Linked DNA regions of Drosophila melanogaster. The protein of the gene in region 1 interacts with the protein of each later gene in a pairwise test. Each region holds a gene or a part of one and is shown in the gene's direction. Other genes may lie near its edges. The genes, in order: Rab14 and Evi5.

Region 1 (12,567 bases):
TACTTGTTAAGGGTCCTTTAAAAATGAAGATACCATCATAACAGCGGTCCCCTGGTCGTAATTAATAACGTTTTTTGAATATTGGCTTTTAATCGTGTTCAATTTCGTGGCAAAACTTTTGAAAAAAGTATCTTAACTTTACAACAACTTTTTAAGCTTTCACGGTGATGGCATCAGGTCATTCGTCAGTTCATCATCCTTCTGATACACTTTGCGGATTTCTTTCATGGCTTATCCAGTTCTGCAAAAACTTATCGTACTCCCTCCGGCTGCGGCAAAGAATTACAAGAGAGGAGGGTCGACAACCGTGCGATTTCAGTTCTTCCATGCGCTCCTTTGTGGTTTTCAGGCTGTGGCATAGAATTCGAGGATTTTGAGCGACCTCAAATCTGGTAAACTGGGCCTCATCGAGTAGGTAGTCTAGCACCTCTTTGATCTGAAGGCAAAATTGTATAGCTTATGATTGTTTGAGTTAACCCATTGTGACTTACCTTGGTAACTCGCACGGTGTGCACCTGCGGATGTTTGTCCATGATTGCCTTGGCTTCACTGGTGCTGAAACCAAGACGATGCGCTAAGTATTCCACCACGGAGGAGAACTCTCCCAAAACCTTCAGTTCGTCGAGAGAAAGCTTCAGGGAGCGCTGCAGTATTGGCTCCGGGCAGCGCACCATCCACGGCATGATCTTGTCCTTTTTCGCCCGCTTGGCGCGCTCCAAACGCAACTGAACAGACTTTGGAGTATAGCGAAAGGCCCATAGATCCTTGAGTACGTTTATTGGCGACACATTGTAGTCGATCATGTGCTGCAGGTTCTTTTCGAACATCTCGAACGGCATTTCCAGGATAAACAGCCTCTTCGATAGATATTTGCTCACAATATCGGGGCTGACATCCAGCTTTTCGCTGATATAGTAGACACGATTTCGCTGTGGCATTGCATCCCTCTCAGAGTTCAGAGCACCCACCAGTTTTCGAAGACGTGGAACAGTGAGGCGCAGGAAAGGCACAAAATGATTGATGTCCTTAAAGTCCATTGACTTGAGTAGCTGCATCTTTAGCTCCAAGCGTTCTGAATAGATAAACAAATAACCGATGATTTAATCACATAAAGGATATAAAGCAAATGAGCTTACTATTGTCCAGCGACAGTAGCCAAGGATACTCCACGAAGCTGCGCCTGCTAACGCCCTCTAGCTGCAGTGTGTCCATGACCAGAGTCAGTGATCTACCGCGGTAGCAGCGGTGCACCAGCTCGTCGCTGATTATCTTTTGGAGCTCAGCGTCCGTGAAGCGAAAACGTTCCCGCAGAGCTTCGAGGAGCACCCGCGTCTTGGTTCCAGTCTCCCGATCCTGGCGATAAGGCACATAATCGTTTTCCGCCTCGTTGCTACCTAAAGTGCCACTGGAGGTCAGTCTGCTCGGACTGGCGCGGTTTTCGTACTGCGAGAAGAGTAGGCGCCTGCTGCAGTGCATTGGGTGCATATTTAAGCCGGCATGCAGCTTGAGTGCCGTCTCAAAGCTGCGCAGAAGGCTTCTAATCATCCCGAATTTGCTTAATTTACAGAATCAAGACAGAAAATAAAGTTCTTCAACTTATAAAACAAGCGGAAAACAGCTGATATGTTGCGGCGATAAACAGCTGACCAAGTGGGCCAACTGAAAGCTGGAGTATACGACACTCAAACAATTATCGTTATCGGTTTTGAAAATAATGACCGTTATTCGGAACAGCAATTTAATAAATTTAGCATTTGTTTTCTAGGAAAATATAATAACTTTTCTAGGTGCAATTGATTTCATAATATGTTTAGGAAGTGTGCTGGTTCATACACAATAACATACACATACACTTTTTAAATATAAGTGTGAAACACTTCCAATATTTATTTTCAAATCTACTAAGCATTCTTAGACAGAGAGTCCCACAATTGAAATCACTCCCATTTTATCAACGAACTTTTTGATTTTATTTTCAAAAATACTACGCTCCAAAGCTAATCGGAACATTAACGCTAAACAAAGACTTGTAGGATTTTGAACAAATCATGAAAACATCTATCACAAGCACTACTCCACATCGATGTCTTTTGTGACGCGACCCACCCAGTAAACGAATCCGGTCTGCACCACGGTGGCCATGAACTTGACGTTGCCCTTGTAGCCTGCTGGCGGAATCCAGTCGAAGGTGATGCCGGTCAGCGGCTTGCCCTTTTGCGCACTCAGATGGGTGATGGTGTCGTCCTTGCCGGAGCAGTCCAAGGTCTGCGAGTGCACGGAGTCCACCACCTGGAACTGGCCGACGACGCGGTTCTGGCCATCGCGTGCCTGGATCATGAAGCCAAGGAACTCATCGCCGCCCAGCGTCAGGGTCAGCTTTTGATCCGAGCGCACATGGGAGGGTCCGGAGATGCTGTACGGCGGCTTGGTCACCTGCAGCTTGGCTCCGTGCTGGGGCGTCAGGTCACGACAGGCGGCCTTTGGGATAATGAAGATGGGAATATAAGGAATCTATCCGTCATGTATTTCGATGGGGCAGGTTCATACCTTTGGAGCACCATCGGAGTAGGCGTGGACACTGATGGCCAGGCAGGCCGCAAGAACCAACAAACGGAACATATCTGTTTAAGGGAAAATTAAAAATAATATCACATGAGTTGGAAACATCGCTTTAGTAACGATTAAAATCCAGTTGGTTGGCTTAATTATGCTACATCACTGTGAAGAACAGTCCACGTAGTGACGAAGCGCACCAAGTGAGTGTGCGAAATCCTTCCATTTTCCATAACCGAATATGCTTAAGCAGAACAAGTTTTAATGACACAAGTACTTGTCAATGTTTCTACTTTCAACTTCTAGTGCTTTCAAGTTGAATCCAATTACATATTAAAATATATTTACTGCCGGTCATTGTTTAACATTTTTAGATTCGTGCATGCTGCTTAATTGCGTTAACTAGTTTTTCATAAATTAATTAATTAACATTTCCACTCAAGTGAGACTTTTTTCACTGGCCTTGGCCAGTTTGACTTTGCTTAAGTTTTTTATTTATTTAGTTTTTTTTTTTTCCTTTTCAAAGTTTACACTTGTATACGTGGGCAGGCGCAAATATATTGAAAACTAGCTCCAATTATGCAGTTTGTCAACGCCAACGTTTATTATGCAGTTTGTTCGGTCCCAGTTGTCGCCATAATGGGTATATTTCTCTGCAGCCTTGACTGTTGACAGTCTGTGATTCTACAAGATTTGTGGATTAGGCTGCAGTGTTACTGTCTGATTTGTAATAACCAGTATTAGTGCCGAAAAAAAATGTCAATCAAAACATTTTAATTATTTACGGGAAACCACTCGAAGTGAACTTAACATTTCAATCACGATCGGCTCGTAAATCTTCAGATTCGCAGAATTAAGAAGGCGCAGACAAAAGCTTTGTTCAATATTGAAATTGGCCAAGATGCATGTTGATTAAACCAATTTTTAAAAAATCATCAAACTGGTTTTTCGGACGTAAACGAAAACTGTTTAAAGCCAAACCAGTTTGCAGTACATTTCCATAGAAGAGTAACTCTTTTTTTTACCGTGCGATAAAAATCGCCTAGAAATGACAAGTGACAATTGAAGACAACAGCCTAAGTACTTCCTCAAATCGAATTCTCAGGTTCAAGGTGGATTGGAGGCTTGTGGAGTTCGAAGTACCGATCTGATTGATCGTCGGCCTCCTCCACTTGGGTCGCCATGGATTCGAAAAGACCTTGTCAAGACCGGCCCGTAAGCCAAGTTTCCATTTGTCTTGCAATATGCTAAAGTTCAATATTGGACATGTTAGTGTCGGAGCCAAGTTTTGCTTCTTTATTTCTTTCCCTCTGCGACTTTTAGCCGTATATTTATGTATTTATGGGCCTTTGTCCAACCGGTTGGGCGATTTGTTTAGATAAAATCTCAATACATGGTTGTTTAATGTCATTACGCTGAGCTATGGCCATAGGCCTCAATTAGCCAACATTTATAATGGCTTGGAAAATATTATTATTATCAAGTTGGTGGGACAGAACTGCTGAAGCTTGAAATTCGCATTCATACCGAAACTATCTATGTCATTTCCGAAAAGGTTTTTTTTTTAATGATCATATTAGAATATGTATTCTAAATTAAGCTTAGTCACTTTAAAACCCGAAAAAAAGGAAGAGTACAAATCCTTTAAGTTTTTAAACCTTTACAACTGTTTCACAAAAAATCAACTGAACTTTGAAAATCGTTTAGGCCAAGTAAACTAATTGCTTAATCATTTAAACCTACCGATCAGAAATACACACACACAAGCGGCAGAAAAGAAAAACTTGAAATGAGCTGAAAATTCTAAAACAACTTCCTATTTATACCAAAAAACTGATCAAAAGTAGTGAAGTAGCTTTTGCAAAGACAACTTTGTAAGCCGAGCTTATACTGCCATACCAGCAAGTTGGCCAAATTCGAAAGCTCCGAAAGCTGAGCTTGCAAATTGAATTTTTAACGCTTCATTTGTGAAGCGACATAAACAGTGACTAAGTGTTTACTTAGATCCACAAATCAAATGGCACGCCAATTAGCAATGCGTATTGATTAGAAGGAGAAACTTGCAAATCAGAATTCGCTGTTGAATGGAAAGCATTTGGCTTATAGGTCAACTATCTGAATTGGTTTAAAATCGTTTCCGGTCGTTTAGTCAATTAAATATAGTTCAGGTTCAATATTCTTTTTGGGTTTCTTCTTTAGATTTCAAAAACTATCCTAAATTTAAATTGTTTTCATATTTGCTGACTGCACTTTGAAATGCTCTTTACTTTTAATATTATAAAGCTACTACTTTTAAGTATCCCCTATAACATAACATACAACCACATCAAGTGTCGTTACACTTTTTTCCAAATGGGAACACTTTTAAAATTCACCAATCTGTGGTTGTCAAATCCAAATGTCATTGTAATTCGGGACACTTCAGTATTTGAGTCAAAAATATGGGAGCAGAGCAATCGGCATTGTTGGCCTGCACTCAGACGGGCATCCATGAGGATCGCCTGGAAATGGATAACTCAAAGTTGTTCTTTCAATTGTACTTTGATAGGATGCCCCAGCCTGTGACGGGTCCCGTGACAGAAGCGCTGCTCCACTTGGTGGATAAAGTGAATGTGGCTGGGGCTAATAATGGTAATATCCGATACCTTTATACCAATTGTCCTTAAAATGTGTACTCTTGAAGCTGATGAAACCCAATCGATCAAGGACGAATGTAATAGCGGGGAAAGCGACACCATATCGGTGCTCAGTAATGACAGTGAAGTCTCGACACCAAGTTTGGATGTGGAAATAGAGCCCATACAGATAGCCGAATTTGAGCCGATAGATCAATACAATATGCCTATTGAGGAAACCGATCAGACATATACGCTACCATTGTTAAAATAAATATGTAGATTAATTTAACATATGAATTTATGTACAGAACTAATTGCAATTGTTCGTCTACTTAAAATTAACTTTCTTTAGTCTCAGCGACTTAATGGGTCTGACAATGCTCCTTCGCTCCTCGCGATGCTTTTTCATCTCCGCCTCGCGCTTCTTGGCATGGAACTGTGACTTCTTCTGCTTGTTCACTTCGAATGTCATCTGACGATTGCCCAGGGAGCGACCCACATTGGTGACCTGGCCCTCCAGCTGGGACATGACCCTTACGCGATCCTGCAAGCTCGCTTTTTTGATGCGCTGCTGCAGTAGACTGCTGCCTTGATGTTGATCCAAGGGGGTCATGGTGAAACGGTTGCCATTGGTGGTGGGTTGTTGGCTGTGTCCATTCGTCTGCGGTCTTTTTGCGGTATCCGAAATTTCATCCGGCTGCTGCTCGTCATCTTCTAGCTCCTCCTCTTCCTCACGTTGTCGCTTCACCTGTTTGTACGCCTGCTTCATTTCCTTGACATACTCCCTTCGGTCATCATCGTCAGATGAGGCCTCATCTCCGCTGTCATCCTTCGTTTCGCCATCGCTCTTCTCGAAGCCAAATAGGTCCTCGTCATTATCGCTTTCCTCGCGCTGCTGTGCCTCGTCCGCGTGCAACTCCGCCACATGAGCCACCTCCACGCGCTTCTTGAGTTCCTTGGCCTTGGATTTATCCAGACGGTTCAGAACAGGAGCCAGCAGACGATACTCCTCGGCAGACTTGTTAACTTCAAAGTCGGCATTCTCAAACATGGCCTTGAAACGCGAGTCCTCCAGCAGGCTGGGCACATTTCGCTGCTTGGCACTGTTGGAAGGATTGGCTTGCTCGTCCATAATCTTGAGAGCCAACTCTTTGTTGACTTTGGGCAGCTTGGATTCGATTTGCAGGCGGGACTTGCGCTCACTTTCGATTTCTTGGCGGATCTTATCTTTGCGGAAGCGGTCGAAGGCGAAGGGTTCCACAACTGCCTTGGCTTTGTTGTACAATCTTGCGTCCATAAAGTATCTGTAGAATTTTTAGGTATTAGACAAGATCTTTACCTCTTCCAATCTTTTTCAAACTTACCCGTGCATATAACCCTTAAGAAGATTGCTGCCAACGAGATGCTCCATTCCCAATTCAGCCAGCTCCTTCGCTGTGACGAACTGATAGTCATCGTACACATTCTCCACGACCTCCGATTCGATCTCCTCGGTGAGGTTATCCAAGAACGAGCACCATCGGGGTGCTGGACCCATTGCAGGCACATAATAGGTCATCATCTTAACATCCTCCTGGGCTACGAAGAACATGCCCGTGTCGGGAATGGTGCAAAAATCGTTGAATGACGAAGTCGACTCAACGTAGGCGATCTGCTTGCCTGTCTGCTCGTCCCACAGCTTCAGTGTAGCCTCGTCCAAACTATAGACGGCATTCTGAGCCGGATTAAAGGCCAGACGCTTGATGGGCAGTCGATTCAGATGATTCTTCACCAGCAACGGTTGCTTGGCGCGAATGTCGTAGATCAGCACGTGTCCCGAAGCAGTTCCCACTCCCATGTGCAAGCCGTTCCGGAATTTGAGGGCCGTGACCGATGGAAACTCCTTGACGCCCGGCAACTTCATGGCTACATCCAAAGTTGAACATCGTTGCTTGGTACGTGGATCCCAGGCTTCTACGGTGCCTTCTTTGGTACCGGCTACCAGAAGATGGTGCTCTGGATTCACTTCACAGGCGTTCAGGCAGCTGCCATCCGTTTCAAAGGGTTGCAGGAACTGACCGCGCTCCAAATTGAGTCGGAAAATGTCCTGAAATCAAATCTTTAGAATAAACTAGACATTAGATAGACCTCAGTTCTTACCCTGCCCACTCCCACGATGAACATGTCGCAGCTGGGCTTGTGGTACTTCATGTCGCGTCCAAAGCGCGGTATCCTTAGTCTGTAGTGCCGCCCGTGGGCCGCATGGATCTCCACATAGCGATCGCATTGCAGGAACACCATCTTGCTGTAGTCGTCGCTAATCACCTCAAAGGTGGTCACCTCGGCGTCGAAGCAGCGCTCGAATTTGATAGACAGGTTGGACACCTCGAAGCACTTGACGCGCGGCTTGTAAGTGCCGGTGGCCAGGATGTACTGTTGGTCGGGACTCATGCGGATGCTGGTGCAGACGCCGGGCATATCGAAGTCCTGGATGAGCTCGATCTGTCTCCGGGAGTCCACTTTTTTCATGAGCTGTGACCGCTTTCGCCGATCCGTCAGCCACTGTGAAGGAGATACTCATGAGTTAACTGCTTGGCAACGGGTTTATCTTGCTACTCACATCTGGCACCGACTTGCCGGCGCTCAGGTTGTAGATCTTCACATCGTTAACTTCGTTTACGAACATCTTGAGGGACGATTTTTGCTCAAAATTAAAACATAAACAAACGAAGTCCGCAACACGTGCGCCCTCTATCGATAGACACGATTGTCGATAGCATCTGGCTGCGATAAGCACCTATCGCGGCAGTGTGACCCTTGGCTTGCCAATTGCTCAGTGTGACCGCAGGAAACCAAGCAAAACAAGAGAACGCAAAAGCAGTGAAAAAAGACTACTGATTTGCATCGACCTACCAATTGAAAATAATCGCAATAATTGCCTCTCGGTGCAGCCCCGCAACCCCGCGAAGCCAGTGTGCGTGCTAGCACGAAAGTGAACTGCATTTTGCATCGCCAAATTGCCCAAAAATTGCAATCGAATTCCGCACAGCCAAACAACAATACGCACACATACACACAGTACCCCCCGCTCTGCGTAACCGCCCTACGTTACACATTCCGTTCGCTCCCTAAGGTGGACTAAAACTAAAGTGATCTAAAACGGTGAGTAATATTCGTTGTTTTTCCTTAAGCCAATTAAACACTGATTAAATTATGCGAAATGGAAAACCGTCTGCGAAGGGGTGACGCAGTGCAGCTGTGGGTGCTCCGCAACTTTCCCTTGTGCTCTCGCTCTCTCTTGTTTTTGTCGTTAGGCAGCAGCACTCCATTGTTGTTGTATACACCCCCTGATTGCTTTGATACCCTGCAATGGGGAGTTACTGTTTTGTGACCAAGTTAAGAAAATAAATATGATTTACAAAAATCGATTAATTCTGGGGATGTTTCAGGTTTTTATGGTGTATAATTTATTTTTTGAATTTTTAGGGGATGGTGGGGCAAAAACGGCCGCCACTCTACTTAAAAATCGGTAGGTGAGGAGTTTGTTTAGTATACGCTATAAATAAATACTCTAAATTAGTTTTTATAAGATGGATTATTATATGAGTGTATGAGTTATCATAGAAATATTTACCTGTGCTTATATATTAATTTATTATATGAATTATGCAAACAAGGTTTTTTCAAAATGTAGGCGAGCATGAATAAAAAATTATAATAAATCAGAAGTTTTCTTAGTAGTTGTTATCAGTTATTAATATATTTCTTTTTCATTTTGTTGTGTCTTATTGCGTTGTTGTCTTCAATGCGGGCTTATTTTATTAGTTTGAATGGATGTGCGCTTATTTGTAGATACTCAAATATCAAATCGTATTCAGTTATATCTTAGAAATGGAATATAAAGCGCACATTTATAAAAGTATATTTATATTTAAGATTTTTTGCCAAAGGGTATACATACTTCGTCTGTGTATAAATATATATTTCTCATACTCCTTTCGTTATTTTCCCTGTTATGGGTGCGCCGCTGTGTTCCTTTTATGAGGGGCAATGATGATCCACTTCCATTCAACACATTTTGCAAATAAGTACATATGTACTTCGCCTCCATTGATTGCTCCACTGATGTTTGGCCTTTGGCGCTTGACTGATAAGACTCGAGACCGAGACCTACTACTTAGTTAGTCTAAACTGCCCGTCATAGAGCCTATTAAACTGATATGCACTTGTCACTTTGACAAGCAATGATAAGCGATTATAACTGTATTTGATGATTTAAGTATGAGCAATTAAGAATCCATAATTGATACTCATCTTTTCACACTATATGCTGCTAAGTCACATTCTTTTGTATGAAATTCATTCATATGAAGTAAGGCAGGATGATTACCCTAAATACAAACTAACTTGATGAATAACTTCGCGCGTACTGCTCTTAATAATTGAATTCCCACGATTGCTTGCTCGGCGACCTTGATCCAAATCGCTTTCAGCTTGGGCGAAGGGTTCAATTCACTCTCTTCAGCGCCCCTTAACTGCGGACAAATCAAAGGCTTTCGAACGACACGGATACTGCGAATGGACAAAGTCAAGTGGCATGAAGTGGATATACCCGCCGCTCTTGAAGCTTGCCTCTTTCTTATTTTTTTTTTTTTTTGGCTTCAGTTGGCAGGCAAACAAACCCGGTCGGCTGTTCAAACACAAGCAGGCCTTAAAAAGAAATATCGGGGCCAGTTCGAGAAAGGGGAACAAAATGTGGTGTCGACGCAGAACAAATTAATGCAGCGCCTCGGTTTGTTGATAAGCAGCGACTACGGTTGGACATTCAAATGAGGAGCTGATAGTAGTAGTTAACACTGTTTGATTGGGTCAGAGTTCATTTCTGCCGGTGTCAAGATGAGCAAAGTGCGCAGCGTGGTGAACAAACTGCACGAACGCATAGACTACTTTATTGAAAAATGTGTGAAATATTCTATATACTCAATGACTCTGCAATGTAATAATAATAATAATTTCGCTTGCTTTTTAGGTCCCAACATGACTGCAGCGCCATACAACTACAACTATATCTTTAAATACATCATCATTGGTGACATGGGCGTGGGCAAGTCCTGCCTGCTCCACCAGTTCACCGAGAAGAAATGTGAGTAGACTGTGCTGAGTAATAATGTATGTAATAAGAACTAATCTCTACTTGCCGTCCTGCAGTCATGGCCAATTGTCCTCACACCATTGGCGTGGAGTTCGGCACACGCATCATTGAGGTGGACGACAAAAAGATCAAGCTACAGATCTGGGACACAGCGGGTCAGGAGCGATTCAGGGCAGTGACACGCTCCTATTACCGTGGAGCAGCTGGTGCGCTGATGGTCTACGATATTACCAGGCGGTAAGCGAAGCAAGCTACTATTTGAGAAATTGCTTTACAACTTGACCATTCCAGCTCCACGTACAATCACCTGAGCAGCTGGCTTACCGACACTCGCAATCTCACCAATCCCAGCACTGTGATCTTTCTCATTGGCAACAAATCGGATCTGGAGAGCACTCGGGAGGTTACCTACGAGGAGGCCAAGGAGTTTGCCGACGAGAACGGCCTAATGTTTCTCGAAGCGAGCGCTATGACGTGAGTTTCAACTGGAAGCATAGTGTTTGAGCATATACTGATTATCTTTTTTTTTATCGCCCAAACAGTGGCCAGAATGTGGAGGAGGCTTTTCTGGAGACCGCACGCAAGATTTACCAGAACATCCAGGAGGGTCGGCTCGATCTGAACGCCTCCGAGTCCGGAGTTCAGCACAGGCCATCGCAGCCGTCGCGAACTTCGCTGAGTAGCGAGGCTACGGGCGCCAAGGATCAGTGCTCGTGCTAAATGAATGATGGAACCTAACTTTACGCAAAACCTAGTTATACAAATCAACTTTTATTTTTAGCCGACTCGTAATCTACCGATGCCCAAGCAAAAACCAATGTATGTAGTTAAATAATTCGATTAAGCATCAATGTGTGAGCCAACAACAGCGACAGCAACCACAAAAAAAAAAAAAAACAGAAAAAGAAAATATAAAGTCCTTTCGCTTAATAAGACGCAAGCATTGCAACATTTATTGTATCGGTTAAGCATAAATACTAGAAAATTAAACATGTTTGTTGGCGCAAACTAAAGTTTTGACCATGAAATTTCGAAAAGTTTATCGCACTAACACCATCCTTCGGTCTCAATTTATAGATGAATTCGTTTGAGATATAGATCATGTTTTTGTTGGCTGATGAATCCCTGTATATAATATATATATGTATGAATTTTTGTATCTCCCTAATTTTTTGTTGAGTATTTGTTGTTGTCGCGTGCAAGAATTGGAGGAAACGATCAATGTTATATGAATATTTACGATGTATTAATGGCATAATGCAATAGGAAATAAATAAAATGGTATTTATAAAACCCCTACCAATAGAAATGAATTTCTCTTTCAAATAATTTAAATTTTAATTTGCATATTTAACCATTCGTTTATATTTAATTCTACACCAAATCGCTGGATAATTTTATAATTTACCGGATTTCCATTTAATAGATTTAAATTTTATAAATATTTGGGTACTTACGATTTACTTAAATATTTTGTAAAAAGCTTTTTTAATCCATTTAGTGGAATACCCTCAACTTTGACTTGCGCATAACTTCATTCTTGTTTTATTTAGTGATGCTAACGTTGGGTTGGAAATCAGCTGATTATGACTATGAACAATAAAGTTTGTAAGTCAAACAACGATTTTTCGTATACTGTTCTTTTGTTTGTTGCTGGTTGTCTAATTAATCATTTTAACTGGTTATCAGTCCAATTTTTGTTTTCTACACTACACTATTCTACACTATTTTCGATTTCCTTGAAATTTAGCGGGAAAAACTCTGAGCTAGCATCTTCGGTGGCATCGCTGTGTGCGCGCTTTTGTGCGAATGCCATGGTATGCAAATTAAATTTAATTTATTCCGATCATCATGAAAGTGACAAAGTAGCTGCTTAAGTAGCCAGGGAAGCGCACAACGTAATCTAATCTCGATCCATGATGCAAATCAAGCGCCTCCTGTGCAAATCCTGCGGCCTGGGCACCCTTCTGGTGGCGGTCGTCTGGCTGCTGGCGCTGCTTTTCTACTCGCACAGCCTGCGCAGCTCCATCCGCTCGGCAGGATGGAGGATCGACGAAGGGAACGCAACGCCACGGGCCGAGCTGAGCTACCAGGCCAGGGTCACCGTCGGATGCACTCCAAATGCCAGCATTACCACTGGCGAATCGCCGGCGGCACCCAAGCCGCCCAGTGATCCGGAGCAATTGGAACTGTTGGGTGTGGTGCGCAACAAGCAGGACAAGTACATACGCGACATTGGCTACAAGCATCACGCCTTCAACGCGC
Region 2 (13,250 bases), on another chromosome or scaffold:
GCTGGCCTCATCCTGCGAATCGTACTCCTTCACCGTCACCTTCTTCATGGGCATTCTGCACTCCGTTTCTGATTGTTTTGGCCGGCCTATGCCTAAATTACTTGTGCTATCATTTAATAGTGTGTTTTTTTCTTTCTTTTGTTTATATCTATTTAATTTCTTTCTTTATTTTCTTTTTGGTTTTCAGGGGCCCGGCCCGCTTTGGTCCTGTGAGTTCAACATTTCGGGGGCACGTCTCACGCAAAGGGGCAACTTTTGAAATAGTTCGCACTCGCGCCAAACGATCTGGAATTTTGACGCGGCCCCAGAATCCCGAGGAGAACCAACCGTCAACAAGTCAAAGTTGCGACTGTTTTGCTTTTGGCGCTGCATTGGATACGCGGGGCTCTGCATGAAAGGTGGCCACCTTTGGGGGCAAGCGTGTGGCAACATGTGGCAACGTTGGCCGCGAAACTGAACGAACGTAAAATCGTTGCATAAATTCGAAATAATACTTATTATAATAAGAATATATAAGAACGGAAACGCTGAGCGATGGTTGCTTGTGTATAGAAACATTTTATTATATTAATTATATAATAGAACATTAATAAAAACGAGCTTAAGTTATCCTGTGATTGATAAATATATCAGAAAGTTAAGTGTGTGTTGTTCATAAAGCAAGATAACATCTTTCCATTTATCTATTCAAATTAGTCACAAAAAAATCTCTTTCTAGCACATTAAATTTATTCAATCTGTATAAATTAACTGTAGAATATTCTGTGAAAAAAAAAACATGTTAGGTAATAAAAATAACATCATTTTTACATAGCTTAAAATAAACGGTACAAGACTTTTCACAATATGGCAACGTCAATGTTCGAATGTGGCAACATCTTCAAATGGCGGCAAATTTCGAAAAAGTTTCTCAGCCAATCCCATTGAAAACTGGCAACATATTTTATCCATTTTTAATCTGTTTTCTTTTTACATACATACATTTTATGATGATGATGTACATTAATACATTGAACTTACAGTACATTTAAGACGATCCATACTTAAATATATATATTTATATTTATATATGTGCATGAACGCAAGTGTTTCTTAAATCTAAGTTGTCAAAAAAAAAAAGGATGAGAAACGAACAATACGTATTCTTGAAAGTCAAACTAACGTAACGCTCTGTTTAAGTAGCTTAAACATTGAAAATTGATTTTCTGATTCCGCTTAACCGTTAATAATATTAAAATATTAATTTTTACGGTCTATCGCACACATTTGCAAGTTGAGTGAGTGAGCTGTGTTAAATTTTGTCCCTGTTTTGCTGACTAATTTAGCAATCATATAAGTGCAAAATATTAACGTTTGCACCAATAGCTTTCTCTTGCAAAAATACTTTGGTATTTTCAACGTGAGTTTGCATATAAATTGAATATGTCTTTAAAAATAAACGTAAGACTACTTCTTGATCGTAGGGAGAACTAATTATAAATTCAGTTAAATGTACAAATTAATCGGTCCTTAATAAACCTACGTGTGTGCGTGTGAGTTTGTAGCTATGTCTGTGTCTGTGTGTATGCTTCGGTTTCGATCTGTATCTGTCTATCTGTACTTGGTGCGCAATTTGCCAGCTTACTACGATTCTAACGCGGTCATTATTTCGTCCAGTGTACCCCTCGAGATGGCATGGCGGCTGGAGTTCAACTGAAAGTTGGGTTCTAAAAGGCATAAGCAGAGCAAATAGTTATTAGAAGGTGCATTCAAATTAACATTTACGAAAGTATGAAATATAAGCAAGTTCAAATTGCAACTGGAAATTGTGCATTGCCTATACACTTACACTTAATTAAGATACCCAGACTTAGAGAAGACCAGAGAAAGTACAAAAAATGCCTATTAAGTAGTTGTTTTAATGACAAATGTACGCAACGGGCGAATGTTCATTAAATCAATCAATGGAATGCTTGACCAATGACCAAGTGTCACTAGAGCTTTAACGTAAGAGTTTTTGGCCTCACAAAATAGAGAAGTTTCGTGAAAAGCGAGACTACTTGGCAAGAATTAAAGTAGAAAATGACGTACTTTACTGTCTTGAAGACTTAACAGTCCCCACTTGTACTCCCTAAGTATTCATGCTATTATTTGAGATTGCCTTGCGATGGAGGCGATCGTCTGGCACTCACCGGATAGCTGGTCCATGATGACGTCATCTAGCGTGGCCATGGGATCCTCCATGGGCGAGTAGTATGTCGTTGCCGTTGATCTGGATTCGCTGGTGGGTTCACCATTCACTGTCCTGGGCGCCGAGGGCGGGGTCATAAGCTCGGCCGGCAGTTCGGGTGAATCGATGGGATCACCGATGATGGTTGCTGCTGTTTGTTGATCCTCGTCATCGTTCGGCGCTTTGCTTGCTTTCTGCTCTGTTTCCTCAATGGCTTGTCCAGCTAGCAGCTTGGCGTTATCGCTGGCGGACTTAAAGCTGCAATCGGAGTCACCGGAATCGAGGCGACTGCGCGATTTGGGCGTACTCTGGCGGGATGATGGCGTATGCAATTGACGGACATCGTCCAACGACGTCTGGATCTCCAGCACGTCATCTTCGTTATCGTCAGTTGTGGACGGGAGCTGTGGTGGGGTCGGCAAGTCACTGAACTCCTCGGCATGCTCGACCTCGTCCTCTACTTTCTCAACCCTGTCTTCGTTCGTTGGTTTTTCTAAAGATTTGACGGCGTTATCGCTGATTTCAGCTGCATTTTCCTCCAGATTTTTCTCGTCCTCGTCTAGCAAAACTTCTTCTCGAGCATCTTCCGATTTTTCCTCCGAATTGTCAGCCTCTTTTAACTCTGGCATATCTTTTACTACTTTTTTTTCCTTCGCCTCATCTGTATTTTTCTCTGTTGCATCCACAAATTGTTCTTCTCTATCTCTTTCTACTTCATTTGTCTCAGTTTCGTGTGCGTCTCCCTCTCGCTCATTCGTTTCGATTTCCTTCACTGGTGGTTTGATTTCGACATCAGGATCGGAGGATTCAATTTCCACAACTGGTGAGTTTTCCGTTTTTTTCTCCTTTTTCGTTTGCATTTTGTCAGTCGTCTCCTTTTCGTTTAGCATCTTGTCCGTCTTTTTGTTTGATCTTTCTTTTAGGGGTTTTGGCTGCTTTTTTTGTGCATCCTTCTGCTTTTTTAGTACCGGCTTTTCGTCCTCATCATCACTGATGGTCGTGGTGAAGGATATCTTCTTTTTCTTGGGCGGAGGCGTTCCAGATCTCTGGGACCCCGGCACATCGTTGGGCACTGGACGTAAAAATGGAGAGAATTGCATTAGTTTTAGCTCAATTCTTCTTTAATTTGATTTGGTCAAATCCTGTCATAAAAATAACGAAATCATTTAATACAAAATGAGACATGATTAATGCGATTACATCGAGTTTGATGTCAGTTTAATAAGTGCATCCTCCTACCTATATACTCCTCATCGTCATCATCATTATCTCCACCTCCATCAGACCTGGAGGAGCTGTTGTCTATGCTTAGGCGGCCCAACCTGCGTAACTTGAGCCTTCCGACCACAGGCGTACCGTTGCATGAGCGGCGCCTAACCCGCTCGCGCGAGCCTCCAGAAGATGACGAGAAGAGCGGCGTGGAGGTCAGTGCTATGTCCTCCAGCACATTGCCAGTGGCATCCACACGCTGCAGTCGTGTCGGTTTCGGAGCTCCTCTCGATGAAAGCGAACCGAAAGTAGACCGACGTGATGGACCCCCGGGGCTGCCCAGAATCTCGACGGCCTCGCTGAAGGATACCGCCTTCTTGGGATACACCTTCCTGACAACTCCGTCGCCAATGGGAGGCGGTTTGCAGTCAGGCCACTTGGCACTTGGTAAACGCGTCCTCCTCACCTTCACCACACAGCCAAAGAAATGCGCGCCATAACGCTTAACCAAATCCGGATCGGTGTTGCGTCCGCGACTGGATAATCTCTTCGCCTTGATCTTGGGCTTGGGACTTCGCTTCAGTGCGGAGTGTGTGCTTTCAGAACTCTTGGCCAAACTGGGCGGCGGTGTATGAGCGCGCAACGAGTGGTTCAGAGCACGCTTTTTGGCGCCATTCTGCAAAGGAACTTTGATGTGGAAATTGGTCTGCGCTGTTGATGACTTTTGTTTCTTAGGTGACGTTTTTCTCTTTTTGTGCCTGCTACGGCCACTAGTACCGCTCTGGTTAACGATCTCGGGCACATTGATAAATGATGAATTGGCCAAAGATTCGACGGCCGAATCGATTTCTGTCTGTTTCAGGCGACGTAATAGCACCCGCACCTTTCTTTTAACATTCGGCGACTGCTGATCGCTGAACATCTTTTGCTGAGCCTTCGTCTTGGTGGGAACGACCACCATCGATTGCTGGTCCTCCTCGATGGCCTCGCCGTCGTCGTCAATGGACACTTTTGGCCTCTTGTTGTGCGGCGTCGATGCAGAGACAGTGGATTTCCTGCTTTTGTTTGGTTTTGAGTTAGCCACGCTCTTACGCTTCCTCTTGGCCAATGACTCGTCGAGATGGTCGAATGATGTTTCCGAATCAAACAGATCAATGCTGCACTGTTCGACATTCTTTGATTTTCTCGACATGCGCAAGTCATTCTCGTCCAATTGGTTTCCACTCTCCAGGAGGTCTGACAGAAAATGGAAAAAACGATTGGAGGTTATTAAACTTCTAGGATTGCCAGCCAATTTGCAGGCAAACAAAATTATGCTCAATTTACCATTTACGTCGATTGGCGAATCGGGCGGTATGGGCGACGGAGTGGAGAGCTTGGTGTCCACCGGATTAATAGTTTGCGGCGGCGGCGCCGCTTTGACCATATCAAAAATATCCATTATCGCAGGTTTCAGCCCTTTGCGATTTTCCCACGAAAATGAAAATTAGCAAAGAGCGCAGATTTACCGCTTTAAAATATACGGTTAATATGCGCTTACAGATGTGTGTTTTGCGCAATTAGTGAGGCCACTGTACCACGGACTAATTGTGGCGCGAGGAGCACTCGATTTGCCCACTTAATCAGCAGATGCGACTTTTAAAATCGCGTTTGCATTCAGGTAACTTTCCTGATTAATTTTACACACTCCTAAAGACGCCATCTAGCTGGTGTGCCCGTGCGCAGATACCGCGAAAATATTTCACCGCCTCGGCGCATTTTTATGGGTTATTTATGTCGCCAACAATCATTAACCACAAAATGTATTTTAAATTTATCAACAAATAGCCTATTTCCTATCATTAAACGACAAAGATCTTATGGACACTTTTCATCAATGGAATGCTGAACAACAACTTATTACTCTGAGCAACATAACTCCATTAAGATTCATACTTATCTCATATGGTTGAATGTTTCAAAATCATTTACAAACATGTAATAACAGCACTTGCAGCCCACTGTACAGGTTTGAGTCTGTGCTAAACAGCTATCATTGGTATTTTTGGTATTATTCAAATAATCGATAATGCAGTAGAAACTTTTCTATCGGTTATCAGCTATCTGCGCTTCAGAGAATTTTAGTATATGGTAATACTTATTTAGCGGCTTACTTCAGCTTTTGCGCGACGGTCACACCGCCAGTGGGCGAAAAAAAACATTCGTGAATTCACCGTCGTCGAACGAACGCTGTATTTTTTTCCAGTGCAATATTCGGTCGATGTATAACGAGTGATTGAATTAAAGTAGTCCTTTTAAAAAAAGTACTAGTATTTAAATAAAAATAAAGTCATACAGAACAGCATAGGGAGAGAGGGCGAGAGAAAAAATTGCTGCTGCTGAGGTGTGTGCAATTGCCTGTGCGTGTGTGTGTGTGTGTGTTTGTGTGACGTTTACAGCAGCAAAAAGTTCGGTAGTGTCGTCAAAATAATCGTGTATTATAAAGTTAATGCAAACGATTCTCGATCGGATACGAGTTGATCGCGACATATTGAGTTCGTCGAATGTGGAAAAGTCTAGCTGATTGAAAACGAAACGCGGATAAAAAAAAAACGATAAACAACGGCAATTTGTTGCTGCCGCAACAGCAACAACAACAGCAGCAGCGCACTAACGCAACCACCACCACCCCCTGTTCCAGCCTAACGGTTCATTTACAGTGGCCGAAGAAGCAGCAGCAAAGGTGAGGTTCCAGCATCTTTATTTATATTTTATGTGTCGTTCTTCTTCATCATCTTTACTTCTTCCGTAAAAAAACTCAATGTGTGTGTGTAAACATTATCAACGAAAAAAGTGGAGTGGGAAAAAATACAGAAACTTTCTTTCGCTGTCTGTGTGGGTTTATGCTCGCGTGTGTGTGTCTGTTGCTACCTTTTTTTTTTTACAAATTAGCGAAGCAGCAAAAGAAAATCGGGTACAACTAATTTTGTATGCTTAAATTTCGCGCATTAATGTAATTAAAAGCGTCCATTGTCCATTGTTCATCGCTCATTGTCCATCATCATTCATCATCGTTCATCATCGTTCTTTGCAGCTTCGCTGAGCAACAACAACAACAATGACAACAGGGCAGCCCTGCTCTTACTTCCTTTTCCATTTCCATTCCTATTGCCATTCCCATTGCTCATTTCCCATTGCCCGCTTCCCTTTCCCAATTCCTCTTTCCCAATTCGCTTTGCTCTTCCACTCCCACCGCATCAGCTGCTCCTGCCACTAGTTGTTGTTGTTGTTCCTGCTCTGTTGTAACCTTGTCTTGCTCTCCTTTCCTTTGCTTTCCACCCACTTTTCGTGGGCCCAACGCACAGTGGGAAAATTCAGCAATCGAGGGAGGGAAAAACTATTTGCCAGTTATAAAATGGAAATGGAAATCGAAGAATAATGACTCTACGTCCACTCTTCTGTAAACCATTAATTACGACCAATGGCTTAGTAATATTTAAAAATAACATCTAATCTTGTTCTCCAATTTTCACTGTGCATCTCTCCATCTCGCTCTAGCCCGCTCTGCGCCTGCGCATTGCCAACTCGGCGACACCTTGCAAGCAGCGTTGCCACCTTGCACATGGCCTACGTAGACGCAACGAACAGTGGGGGTGAAAAAACTAGCATTAAAAATAGTAAATTGCTAGCTTATTAAGCTTCATTGTTGTTTGTTTAATATGAATACAGTTAATTTAACGCTTTCATTGCATTAAAAACAAACTGGCTGCAGCGAATTTCGTCGAAACTAGCTAAAAGATTGCTGAACTCTTGTTTATCTGCCGGTCGTGATAAGCTTTGTATCCGTATGTAGATTACATATACGTGCAACTGAGGGCTTTCTGCTAAATTATATCGAGATCTTAAAGATGCCCAAAGGCAGACAAGTGCTCAGTTACTTTATACTTTACTTTGCTTTGGAAATGCAGCCATAGTCCTTTGACCTCTGCTGTACCCGACCCATCGCACTCAAGTCTTTTGTTTTTGTTTTTTTTTTTTTGTGCGTGGGGATTGTTGCGTGCTTATTCAAATTTCAGTTGTGCTATTTATTTAAATCACGAGCATTAAAACTAGTGGAGCACATAGAGCAGAAAGTCATCGTCATGTTAATTATGATCATAAATTTGCAGAGCTCGTGGGTGTGTTGGTGTATCATCCGTCATTATCTGGAGAAGGTTGGGGCAGGATAGCCTTCATTCTGCCTTCTCTGGCCAACAAAAAAAAAACATATACATATATAAAAAAAAGATAAATAACAAAAGTCAAGATACTTTTTTTGGGTTATTTCAAACGGAATTCTTTTTGCGTTTAGCGGGTTTTTCAACTATCTGCTCAAGTGTTTTCGCCATGTTTCATTATTTGCATTGTTTTATGATATTTTGGCGGTTGTTTGTTGCTGCTTATTATGTTGCCCATTTCGATCGCGCGAGCTTTCGACCTTCGCCGCAAAGCCGCAAAAAATATATGTCAAAAATAATTTGCACTTGAGTCTGTTTCCCTATCGGCGTTTATTTTGTATTTATGTATGTATACATATTTTTTAACGGATCATACCAAGCGCTTGCCAACACGTTTTCGCGCAACCAAACTAAACGCAAATTAAGTAAGCCAACTGTGAAATTACAGTGATCACTGTGCAAAAAAAGACTCCGAAATAAATGCGATTTTGTTAACATTTTAAGTGCATTTTAAATTATAAAATATATATGTAATTACTTGTTTAAGCGAATACTAACTATTGGAGTCAAGTTCATGATCGAGCTGCCACCTTTCTTTGTGGGGCTCAACGAAAAGTATCTATGTAGCGTGGCTTTACTTTATTGGCATTTCGTTACTTCCTCTGAAATTTGTTTTCGAAAAAAGTTTGACAACCTCATGCCGTCTCTTGCGATTGCGCAGCTACCTTTTGTTAGCCGTCCCTTTCTGGCGAGGCAAAAAGTGCCGTTATGTAAAATCAGAGGCAATAGCTTCCACAACATAAAACCGATATGTATGTATGTTTCGCCAAGAAATATCGAAAATAACAACAATGGGGCTGGGGCATCCAGCATCCACACAGTCGTGGCCAAGCTATTATGGCCACTTGGCCAACTGGAGGCTTACCTGATTTACCTGCCCCAAAGCATAGAAAAGCAGGTAACAACAGAAGCGGTAGTGGCGATACCGATATGTGTGCCAATCTCCAATGCAGACGTGCTGGTATTTCGGGGCACAGTGAATGCCCGATAACTGCGAAATAATTACGATACTTTATTTTTTGTAACAGCTGAACCAGAAATATTGTTTATTGTAATAATTTGTGTACTTTTCGTATTTACAATGATATTCTTCCCTTTGCTTCTGTTAGCCAATAGCCACTGTGAGTTTGGCCAAATTCCAGATTTCAAGCAATGATTTTACAGTTTGGCCAACAATGTCGGTTTGTTTGTTGTTTTCTTCAGCCAGCCAGTTTTCTTTCCTGATTTTTTTGTTTTTGTTTGCCGCTCCCTATATTTTTTTCACTCAGTCATTCAACAGCAATTGCAGACACATATCGTTTTTGCTATTTATTATTGCTGGAAACTGAAGGAGTTTCGTCTGTTTCCATTTCCATTTCCATTTCGATTTCAATTTCAATTTCAGTCTCGGTTTCGAATTCGGTTTCTTGTGGCTGTTGAAATCCAAAACGGCTCGAATATTGCGCTGAAAACACTTTTTATTGAAGCACTTGTGAATGCTACTACTGGGAACTTATTTTAGCCAATGGCAACTGAAACAACAATTGTACGAGTACACTGTAAATGGAGATGTATTATTTCGAATCGTGTTGTAACAATCCCTTTTGGAATTGAACTTGACATTTAAATTGATTGCTAATTGAAATGATTAAGTTAAAAGGTCATTGCTTTTCGTGATCATCTCATTAAGTACTGAAATGAAAAAAAAACAGCTACAATAACAAAATACTTTCTAGATTTGCCATATTACTCTGCGTTATCCCAGCTGTTTTTTTTTTCAAGTGTAACTAGTAGCATACAGCATCATGTGCTGAATGAATTATGTTAATGAGTTTGGAAGTTGGCTGGGGCTGGCCAAAAAAAACTCAGGGGAATTGTATTTCATAATTCCATTTGTCCGCTGCCTTTTCCCCTTTTTTCATATTTTCCGTTTGCTAGACTTTATTTCATCGTGCCGCCCCTTTCAATCCACTCAAATGCACTACAAAAGTTGTTGAAATAGTTCGATTTGCTAATAGTACAAAACAACTAATAAATTAACTGTAAACTATCAATATTTAAATGTATTTCACTTGCAAACTTACCATTAATTCAGTTATTATAAAAGTATATAAGGTATAAGTATAAGTATATATTATAAAAGTATCAAACTAACCCATTTTTTTGACTGCAGCTGTAAATGTCATTTGCGCGATAAAGTTTCATTGTTCTCAAATCTTGAATTGTGCTCGAGCGGAGTGCGTCTTTTGACTGATTGAAGAAATCGTCGAATTCTTATCGTCTGGGCCTCGTACACCCCCCCTGTGGCTTCTATTTCGCCCTTCCTGCTTCTGGTTTTTAATGGGTAACTACGCCCTATCAGTTCCACTGTTGCACTTGTTTTTCACTTGTTTAGAATTCGTGGCGATGGATGGAAAATTGAGTTCGAGTTGGGGCGACACTTGGGTATTATGTATATACATTGCCACATTGGCATTTCCACTAATTGTGGCAAGCAGACAGGTAAATGCATTTTGTAATTGCCACCCAGAGACAGTGAACGCTCCTTAAGTGAAACCATAGCTTTGCCTTTTAAGCTAACATTGTTTCAAAGTAAGAGAATTTTTCAAACCCATGTTTCAACTATTTGACGGTAAAAGTATGTGAATAATTTAAGCAGCTTCCATTATCGAGTGTTTACTGTGACTGACGTCACACCATTGCCAAGGGCTCGATTGGCGTGGGTGGGAGCGAGATAGCCAGCGAGTCAACAATTCAAATTGGGTTAATGAGAGTTGGCCAACTCAGGGCTTGGTTCTATATGTATCGGTGTTGTGTATCTGTATCTGTATCTGTATCCCCGTATCCGTATCTGTATCTATATGTATGTACACACAAGTGGGCGGTGGTTTGGGCGTGTGATTGCGTGGGCGTGGCACTCTTGAATTTTTGATGATTGGGCTTAAATTACATTGGGGACAGCAAGCGAAGCACAACAACTTGCTGTGATATTAGGAAACATTCTTATACGGGCCAGACGTATGATTAGGATTTGCTGCCATCCCATGGGCTTACATCCAACATATCCTTTGAGAAATTTTGTGATACTAGTTGCACTCAATTTGCTTAAAGTCGTCTAACTTGAATAAAAATCTACACTTTCATATTTCAAACCTATATGGAATGAATGAGTTTCTAAGCCAACCAAGCTATGATGTGCTAATAGGCTTATCAGCGCACTGGCTGTTTATATACATATGTGCCTTATAGCCATTGCCGCGAGTGTGCCGAGTGGTACTCTATGGCTTGGGGGCGTGACTCGTTGCATTAAAAGATGCAAATGCATATTGCAGATGCAAATGCAAATGCAAATGCGGCGTGTGTGCGTGCGCAAATTAGCAAGACAACAAATGAACTTCGCTAAATGCTATCGCCCCGGTCACCCATGTATTATTCATTAATGTCCGGCAAAAAAACAGCAACAAAATCACACACAAAAAGCCAAACAAAACAAAAACAAAGTTAAATAAAAACACGAAATAAGCAAATTGTGATTTGTTCGAAAGTGGCAAGAGTAAAAAAAAAGAGACGGACAAAAAATTAGCTAAAGCATTCACCATCAGGTTTCTGACTAATCGCCGCCCCGGTACAGTGGAGTCCATTCAAATGGGTCATACGCACGACAGGCTGTCGGCAAAAGATGTGGAGCAGATGTGACTGCGGTCGCAACAGATGTATAATTTGAGTAAACCGCGGAGATAAAATAAAATAACACTGCCATGAGGCTGGCACAAAAGTTATTATTATAATTTGCGAATATTCAATGCTCTACTTTGGAAAACAAACTTTCCAAATTGGATGTACAATCAAATCTGATACAATTTCTAAATTTCTTTTCTGAATTATTATTTCATATAAGATTTATTGATAGTTAAATATTCTTTCTAATAAATGTTTTTTGAGTCTAAACGAAATTTCCATGGGTAAAAGTAAAAGCAAGGGAATACGAAACACAATTTAAAAACAGATATTTTACAAATCGATAGTGAAAGGGTAAAGCAAAACAAGTTTTGGAAATACCTAATTTACATCCCAAATGCCATGAGTCACAAATAATCTGGCTGAAGAAAAAAAAAAAACTTACCTGCGACAAAGCGAGCGATTGGTTTGAAATACCCCGCGAATCGAATCGAATCAGAAATTGTGATGGTGTTTTTTATACTCTTTGTTTGCCTTTTCCATCTGCGGGCTGCCGACGATTCTAACGGTCGTGCATATATGTATGTATGTATAATGCATATATTTATAATGCCAAAACCATGAGTCGGCTCGGAACTAACGATTCTCATAAAAGCCAACGAAGCCAGCGACTTCAAGCCAAGAAGCTGAAGTAAAAAAAAAAGCGAAATGTGAAGAACTTTTTATGAATGAATTAGACTGGAAATAGTGCAGAAATATCTGCCAGCACACACATGCTACTTCACTCTTCACTCTTAACTCTATGTGCTGGTATATTAATATGTATTTATACGTATATATACATATATACATTTTGCCTGCACTCAAGCTTAAGGCTGTAGAAACTTGAGAGGTCTTAGAACCCACAGTGGGCGTTAATAATTAAGGGGCCCAACTCACAGACCATGCTAGAAATATATGTATGTATATGTATATATGCACAAACTATATGTTGTGTCCTCTGACGTTTAAGCTGAAAAGCTGAAACTTATGGTTTGCTTCTTCTGTCTAATTTAAGATCCATTAATTGATGTCCAGAGGCTACTTTTTGTATTGCCGCCAGCGTAATGTAAACATCTGTTAACAGACTGTGACTACAATTAGTTATCGTTATTCATTCCGCCTATACATGTGGATGTACATATGTATGTATGTACACTTGTCTGCTCGGCATTATTTTCGCTCGTTTTGTTGTTGCTGTCGCAATTATCTTTGCGTTGGATTGATAGTGGCAGTGAAATAATGTCACTGGATTGCCAATTCAGCACAAAAATATACATGCTAGTGGTACAGTGGTCTCCCGCAAAGCACACCGCTTGAATATACAGCAGATAGAATCATATATCGAAGGGTACTATTCGTAATTTACGGTTCCATTACATTTCTGTGTAAGTATATGTAGGTAAACTTGTAGGTTTCATTATGGCCATGTCGCACTGTCACAAAAATTGTACCGCCTAAAAGTATGACTAGTTTGAATGAGCGTAAATCAACACACATACCTATTGATTTTCATTGATCGGAAATCGGGTTAAATTGCTCGTGTCTCTGTGACGTCAAAGCCTTTGACTGTGTCCCACATTTAATAACAAATAACAAATCAAAAACAGTAACTAGCATGGCCTAAAAGTATACCTCAAGTTTGTTTTAGTATTTCAAACCGTTTAACGCTTGTATGTGTATGTGAATGATAAGAGCTAAACTTGTTATCAGTGTATCCGCAGTAGACTTGTCTACATAAGCGCTTTTGAGCCAAATATCAATGAAGAAACCGCTCTGAATGTGTGACACCAGTTCGAGTTCGTTTGGTCTTTGGTCTATCTTCCAGTTTATTACCATTTTCGAATGTCATTTATATCAAAGGGGGTTTATTTGCCCAA

Evidence for each region.
Region 2: the proteins of Rab14 (region 1) and Evi5 interact in a two-hybrid assay, tested with the Drosophila melanogaster proteins (one study listed by BioGRID).

What each region holds. Positions count from the first base shown.
Region 1 is NT_033779.5:14,347,162-14,359,728, forward strand, and holds Rab14 (Rab14), read left to right. Parts: upstream 1-9,879; 5' UTR 9,880-10,046; coding exon 10,047-10,110; intron 10,111-10,119; exon of another isoform or gene 10,120-10,179; coding exon 10,180-10,293; intron 10,294-10,358; coding exon 10,359-10,539; intron 10,540-10,593; coding exon 10,594-10,776; intron 10,777-10,844; coding exon 10,845-11,022; 3' UTR 11,023-11,603; downstream 11,604-12,567. Other genes in the region: mTTF (mitochondrial transcription termination factor), read right to left, coding at 194-436, 492-1,072, 1,137-1,545; l(2)34Fc (lethal (2) 34Fc), read right to left, coding at 2,071-2,478, 2,548-2,619; CG43052 (uncharacterized protein), read left to right, coding at 4,995-5,184, 5,237-5,442; l(2)34Fd (lethal (2) 34Fd), read right to left, coding at 5,500-6,475, 6,536-7,257, 7,311-7,712, 7,771-7,836; Pgant35A (polypeptide N-acetylgalactosaminyltransferase 35A), read left to right, coding at 12,219-12,567.
Region 2 is NC_004354.4:11,446,686-11,459,935, reverse strand, and holds the start of Evi5 (ecotropic viral integration site 5), read left to right. Parts: upstream 1-5,597; 5' UTR 5,598-6,140; intron 6,141-13,250. Other genes in the region: CG43155 (uncharacterized protein), read right to left, coding at 1-54; HP5 (heterochromatin protein 5), read right to left, coding at 1,624-1,706, 2,172-3,281, 3,449-4,654, 4,745-4,859. UniProt on the Drosophila melanogaster protein: Functions as a GTPase-activating protein (GAP). During border cell migration in the ovary, acts as a GAP for Rab11 and is necessary for the maintenance of active receptor tyrosine kinases at the leading edge.